Linked DNA regions of Drosophila melanogaster. The protein of the gene in region 1 purifies or fractionates together with the protein of each later gene. This does not show direct contact. Each region holds a gene or a part of one and is shown in the gene's direction. Other genes may lie near its edges. The genes, in order: Cmpk and CG8132.

What was found.
Region 2: the proteins of Cmpk (region 1) and CG8132 purify together in Drosophila melanogaster (affinity purification with mass spectrometry, with the first as the bait; one large-scale study listed by BioGRID). This does not show direct contact.

What each region holds. Positions count from the first base shown.
Region 1 is NT_033777.3:26,053,737-26,057,579, reverse strand, and holds Cmpk (Cytidine/uridine monophosphate kinase 1), read left to right. Parts: upstream 1-2,141; 5' UTR 2,142-2,243; coding exon 2,244-3,005; 3' UTR 3,006-3,343; downstream 3,344-3,843. Other genes in the region: PIG-P (phosphatidylinositol glycan anchor biosynthesis class P), read left to right, coding at 1-233; CG14543 (uncharacterized protein), read right to left, coding at 272-733, 798-923; Sld5, read left to right, coding at 1,089-1,199, 1,260-1,713, 1,772-1,893; Vps2 (vacuolar protein sorting 2), read right to left, coding at 3,833-3,843.
Region 2 is NT_033777.3:9,399,637-9,403,118, forward strand, and holds CG8132 (uncharacterized protein), read left to right. Parts: upstream 1-1,858; 5' UTR 1,859-1,930; coding exon 1,931-1,949; intron 1,950-2,004; coding exon 2,005-2,837; 3' UTR 2,838-2,982; downstream 2,983-3,482. Other genes in the region: CG34117 (uncharacterized protein), read right to left, coding at 1-303; RpL34b (ribosomal protein L34b), read right to left, coding at 801-1,242, 1,306-1,370; CG9356 (uncharacterized protein), read right to left, coding at 2,988-3,137, 3,207-3,482.

The sequences.
Region 1 (3,843 bases):
TTGATTCCATTGCCTCGGTGGTGGATCCAAAGCTGGCACTGCCCAAGGGGACAGAGTTCACCTCCTGGTCGCAGTTGCAAAAAGGCAAGGTCAGCCAGGATTCCGCATCAAAGAAGGCCTCTCCAGTGAACTGCAACCTGTGCAGGACTTTCCACCAACCTGTGACACGTGCACCTATTCCACCACTGCGTTTTCTGGACCTCCAGGAAGTAAATACAGCGTATTATAACTAAAAAACTAGCAGGTTTCTTTTTAATCATCCCGACGAAATTCATTTTCTTCGCACGGTGGTCCAGCCGTCTTCCGGTTCCACAAACTCCTCAGCCTGCTGCTTTCGTGCCTGCGATCGCGTCATCCGACCACTGCCGCTGGGAGTTTCCTCGTCGCCCTGGCCCATTTCATTATCGTCCTCCTCGTCGCTGTCGTCCATGTCCTCATCGGATGAGGAGTCCCCATCGATGGGTGTGTAGGTGATCTTAACATCCGGACGCAGCCACTCCTTGCCAGCAGGAAGTTTACTCAATTCAGCCTCTATTTGCGGAAACTGGTTCTGCTGGGCCATCAATTTGTAGCGCAGCAGATTCCGGCAGATCTCCGGAATGGAGTCGTCGTCGCAGAGGGTGTTAAACTCCTGGTCCATCAGCTCCTCCAGGACCTCCACCAGTTCGCCTTGCGTGATATTTTCGTTGGACACGCAGTACTGGTAGGTGTAGTCCATGATTTCTATGGCCACCTACAAAACGGACACTCCGATTAGGTTAGAAAAGAAGACGGTTTCAGGGTATACGAGCAACAACCTGTTGGCCATTGCGTCCGCCCATGCCATGCTCCACCGCCAGCCGGAGATCCTGCCAGTGATTGAAGATCTTCTCTACAATCACTCTAAAATTCTTTTGGAATTCAGTTTGTTGTGCGGCTGCCATCGCATGCTTTTGTGATATCGATAACGGTTAGACGTGCCATTCACACGGAGTAAAAACAAATGAAACAGTGATGAAAAACGTCAACTGTATTACTGGAGTGACATTCCCAACGATTCCCAAAATTTGCGCCAAAATCTGCAAAATAATAAACAAATAAATAAAACCATGTCGGATGTAGAAGACGTGCCCGAAACCCAGTTAGAAATCGATGTCAGCGATGGCGCCGGACTGGAGGATGAGGATGATGACGATATGGAACAGATTACAGCTCAGAAGGTAAGGTAAATCGTAACACAGCTTTTTAATACGCAAGTAATCACATTCTGATATCCCTAGGTTCTGGAAATCATAGAAACCGCGTGGATAAATGAAATGTGTGCGCCGGAGATCCTGCCCAGCCAGACGGACATGCTGGAGCTGATGGTCTCCCAGGTGGCCCACATGGAGGAGCAGATGCGCGATCTGGACAAGAACGATTTCCGAGCGGTGGTGCACTCCATGGAACTGGAGAGGGTGCGCTACATAATGGCCAGTTATCTGCGTTGCCGCCTGCAGAAGATCGAAACCTTCACGCAGCACATCCTCAACCAGGAGGAGAGCCGTGAGCCGGATGACAAACGTCTGTCTCCCGAGGAGACTAAGTTCGCCCAGGAGTTTGCCAGTAATGTGGATGAGTACTTCCACAAAGTAGCCACCCAGTACATGCCCAACCAGCAGAGAGGAGAGGCGGAGCAGAGGATTGTGACGCCCAATCTGATGAGCCATGTCTTTCTTAAGGCAAATGTGGCAGGTAATAACCTTTTGTCATCTAATTAAGATAACCGCTTAACTCTTGTTTTGCTTTCCAGTGCCCGCTGTGATCGTGGGCGTCGATGATGAGGAGGTGGACATGGCGGCCGGCTCCCAGCATATTATTCCCTACCAACTAGTGGCCGACTTGATACAAAACAACCAAGCGCAGCTAATTTAAAAGACTTATTTAGCAGGTAATATACATGATAATAAAAAAAATTAAAAATCAAACTCTGCAAAGCTGCATGTTTAAGGGTACATTTAAAAATGTTGTAGAAGAATATTTAAATTAAATTTAATTTATTTAATATCGAACCGGAAGTAAACTGCATAAAATGCCATTCAAATTGGTTCGCTTCCCGCTAAAGCCGGCGCCAGTGTTGCCGAACGGACGCCCGCGAACAGCTGCGCTTGTGCGTGACGTCACAGGGTGTTACGTTTCCAGTGGAAAACAGTGGTGAGGTGTACTGCAGGCGGCATACACATAAACCACGCATTCAATTTGCCTTCAGTTTGGTTCAGTCGTCAATGTGGCGGGCTTTGGCACGAACGACGTTGAGAGCAGTAGCCAACGATTGCGGTTCACCAGGAGTCGGTCTCGCACCATCAGCGCTGACGCAGCACCAATTGCGACATTCCAAGGCCAGCAATAGGTTCATCACCACCACCTCCACAGCCCCACCACACAATATCGGAATCATGAGCGTAGAGAAGCCAAAGATTGTCTTTGTTTTGGGCGGTCCCGGGGCCGGCAAGGGCACCCAATGCTCCAGGATCGTGGATCGCTTCCAATTCACCCATCTCTCGGCCGGCGATCTCCTGCGCGAGGAGCGGTCGCGGGAGGGCTCCGAATTCGGTAACCTCATCGAGGACTACATTCGCAATGGCAAAATTGTGCCCGTCGAGGTCACGTGTTCGCTGCTGGAGAACGCCATGAAGGCGTCGGGAAAGTCGCGGTTCCTCATCGACGGCTTCCCACGCAATCAGGATAATCTGGACGGTTGGAACCGCCAGATGTCCGAGAAGGTGGACTTCCAGTTTGTCCTCTTCTTCGACTGCGGCGAGGATGTGTGCGTCAAACGGTGTCTGGGCCGCGGCCAGAGCGGCTCTGGCCGGACGGACGACAACCTGGACAGCCTGAAGAAGCGCATCTCGACATACAACAACGACTCGCTGCCCATCATCAAGTTCTTCGAGGGCGCCGGCCAGGTGAAACGGATCGATGCCAGTCCGGATGCGGAAGAGGTGTTCGGGGAGGTGGAAAAGATATTTGTGGCCAGCGGCTTCTAGATTTCCTGTTCATATTCCGGTTATGTGTGTAGTGCTATCCTTACCTTTCATTTGTACCCTCTAAAAAAATACATATATACGCTTGTTAATAGTAATGCATAAGGTACTTTTTCTTCACCCCGATAAGATACAAGATACACATGAAGTTTAGTATACCCAATCAAGGAAAGCGGAGGTACACACACACTTTTTAATATCGAGTAAAAAATGGAGCTAGGCAAAAGTTATTCTGGAATTATATGTTATCTAAAGCAAATGGATTGAGAACTATTTTAAATGTAGGAACGTTAAAGAGCAATAAACAATAAATTAAATCCCCTGTTCATATTATGACATTTAAAACAAGTTTTCTTATTTATACAAGTGCTATGTGATTTTCATTTTTCAAGTGTTTTACATATTTCTATAGTACCCAATAGTACAAATTTAGGAAAGTACTTCTTTTTATTCAGATAAACACAATTTTGCATTTATAGTTAAAGCTGAATATATGTATATACATATATATATAATTTCATGATTTGGAAATTCCTTTTTCTTATTTTATTGAAGACAGGCATGAAACGTACATATCTTTTAAAATACCGAATATTGTATAGCTCTAAAGTAACAAGTATTGCGAATTTGTTTGTAGCTAGGCTGTGCGATTGCAGCACTACCCAGTTCTTTCCATTATAGCTTGTAAATGCTAATTACTCATCGATTTTTCAAACACGCAGGGAACGAAAATCACAAGCATTCTCTTTAATATAACATTCGCTTCTGGGAGATACAAACGGGTGGTGGCTCTTACATAAAGTGGACAGGCAGTGGTTCTTAGTAGCGGCTCAATCCTTGC
Region 2 (3,482 bases), about 17 Mb from region 1:
CTTGGGATCCGAGGGCAGCTTGAAGCCCACCAAATCGGCGGTATCCCTTACGGATCTCTCGCCCCTTCCGTGATATTCCTTGTAGAGCTCCAAGTACCGGCGCTGGCTGGCTAGGTAGGTCAGGTAGGTTTGACCCAGGAAAGTCGCTTCGTTGCGCGCCTTGCAGAATTGTTGTTCCGTGGTGGCGAACTTCTTGTATTGCGCCAAAATGTAGCGCGCGGCCAGAGAGTCCTTGATGCAGCCATTTGGAGATGCCTGGCGCAATTCGTGCAGCAGGGAGCGCAGCACCTTGGTTCCCGCCATTCTAAACACAAAATATTAATTGCATTTGCAAGAAACTATAAACAATCAACGACTTACGTGATTTTTAAGAAAATTCCAATTGCTTCTGCCGAACAGCTGTTCTCAACAGAGTTGCCACCTAGTCATACAATGAATATACAGTGATCACTCTCACAAATTGACACTTTGAAAAATAACACTGGATCTTATTTTTTATAATTATCAATAAATCTGAAAAATCATCAAAAGTTTGACTACGAGCACAGTAAAACTCTGTGACAAACGAAATATTTAAAATTTATTTATTTTAATTATATTATATTCTCACTTTTGAAATCGTTTTGCTATAAATGTCTAAAAGTCGAACGGTCTGATTGGAAAACAAGAACAACCAATAAGTAAAGTACACAATCCAACTGGACTGTCAAACTAAAAATACAAACAGTAAATCCAGTTGGAAAAAACCAATTTATTTTAAAAGTTATTTAGCAGTACACCGAACTCGTTGCGTGGGCTGTTTACTTCCTGGGCTTGCCAGCGGCTGGCTTCTGGCCGGGCTTCTTGCCAGCGGCTCCCTTGGCGCCAGCACCACCCTTGGTGACCTTGCCGGCACCGGCCTTGGTTCCCTTGGCTCCAGCAGCGGGCTTCTTCTTGGGCTCGGGCTTGGCCTTGGGGGCCTTCACCGGCTTGACGAGCGCCTCGCGCTGGCTCTTCAGGGCCTTGACGATCTTCTGCTCCTCGATGAGGAAGGCGCGCACGATACGCTCGCGCAGGCAGCTGTGGCACAGCACTCCACCGTAGGTCCTGGACACGGTCTTCAGGCGCTTGGACATGCGGGGGCGCTCGCTGGGGCGGGAGGGGGTGATACCCTTCAACTTCTCCTTGCACTGGCCGCAACGGGGCACGGTGGGGTTCTTCTTCACATACTGGTAAACCAGACGACCACCGGGCGTGCGAACACTGTAAATTGCAAATGTGCGTTATTTTTCATATTGGTGAGGTGTATTGCAGTTGGATAGTTACATGCGCCGCTTGTTGGAGCGTGTGTTGTAGGACAGGCGTCTCCGGAGCGTCAGACGTTGGACCATTTTGCTGTTGTTGTTGCTGCTTGTCGTGGCGATTCGTGGGTTACATGTGCAAAAGCGGTGAAAATCATTATTAGTTTGGAGTTACACTAGGGTGGGTGCAGTTTGGGCTGCATTTGGTGGTATATTTTCACAATTTTTTCACACATTTCGGCGAATTTGCGTGAAATTGTTAATTGAACACGTGCATACCTCAAAGAGACGAAACTAGAAAGAAAGGTGGCAACCCTGTTCGCGCACGACGTGAACTTGGCTGCGCTGCCCACTGTACGACACTTTCGAGCACTGCAGACCTTGCCAGATTGCCATGAAAACATGGGCTTATGGGGGTTGCAAATTATTTATTTTTTGTTAGAAAAGTTAGGATTTTATACACAATTTAATGCTATATTCTTTTGGTTAAGTATGCTTTGGCTAAGTATATGCGTATTAATATGAGGTTAAATAATGCGTTTTATAAATATTGATCCCTTTTACTACGCCCCTGCGATAACCTGTTGTTGTTTTGCTTGCGATGAAATCTGTTATCAAACCGCGAAAAGATAACATTTAATTGCAGCAATATGAGCAAAACTAGCAACAGTAAGTGTTTCTCAAAATTTCAAAGAGATCCACTTAAATATTTCTTATTTAATAGTCATGCGTTTGGCGCTGCTGCAGCTCAAGGGTTCCAAGGACAAAGTGGCCAATGTCCAAAACGCCGTCACCAAAATCGAGGCGGCGGTCAAGGAGCATAAACCCCGATTGATCACTCTGCCGGAGTGCTTTAATGCTCCATACGGCACCAAGTACTTTCGGGAGTACTCCGAGACCATTCCCGATGGCTATACCTCGCAACAGCTCTCCAATTTGGCCAGGAAGCACCAGGTGTACATCGTGGGCGGAACAATCCCTGAACTGGGCGAAAACGATGCCATCTACAACACCTGCACGGTTTGGTCACCCACTGGTGACCTTGTGGCCAAGCATCGCAAGATGCATCTCTTTGACATAGATGTCAAGGGTGGCATTCGCTTCAAGGAGTCGGAAACGCTGTCCGCAGGCAATGATTTCACCATCATCAACGTAGATGGCCACAAGATTGGCATCGGCATCTGCTACGATATTCGATTCGAGGAGATGGCGAGGCTCTATCGCAACGCAGGCTGCGAGATGATCATCTATCCGGCTGCATTCAACATGACCACTGGTCCACTGCACTGGGAGCTATTGCAGCGATCCCGTGCCAATGACAACCAACTCTTTGTGGTCACAACATCACCAGCCCGTGACACAAGCGCCGAGTATGTAGCCTATGGCCATTCCATGGTGGTGAATCCATGGGCCAAGGTGCAGCAGAGTGCCAGTGAAGGCGAGGAAATCGTGGTGGCCGATATAGATTTCTCCGAGGTGGAGCAGGTGCGTCAGCAGATTCCCGTCTTTGGGCAAAGACGTCTAGATCTGTACGCCACCGAAAGGAAGGCCAAATAAAGGATTGCTTTAAATGGGAAATGGGAAATCTTCAAAAATTCAAGAATCTGTCGTTTTAAGCACCTTTAAAGCATTGCATTTATGTTATTTGATTGTATATAAAATTTATTAGGCCTACACACACATATAACATTGATTTCTGTCGAAAAACTATTGCATTTTATCTAGCTGCTGATTATCGCAGGCAGGAGTTACTTCGGATGCAGGTGATTGCACGTAGTGGGGTCGCTGGGCCTGGTCGAAAAGTGCTCGTATGGCTTCATCGGTGGCCATCAGGGGCTGACTAATGAATTCCAAGGCCTGGTGGGACGGTAATAAGGTGTACCATTAACTGGATGTTTGAATCACTTTAACTATCGCTGTACTTACCCTAACCGCGTACTTCTCCGCCTCACAAAGTGGACTTGTGCTGGCGCTGGACAACTTTAGTGTCTCCTCGGGAATGCCCACGCCAGTGTGCAGGACCATGCGTTGGAGAATGTTAAGGTTTTCGGCACTTAGGCTGATTACATCGGTGGCGGGCAGGTTGAGGAAACGAATCTTGGCCAGGAACTTCAGTTGCTTAAGCATATCTAGCTGAATTTCGCGGATCTGATGGGTGGCATGAAGCAGTTGCTTCGTTGACTCGTTCAATAGCTGATTCTT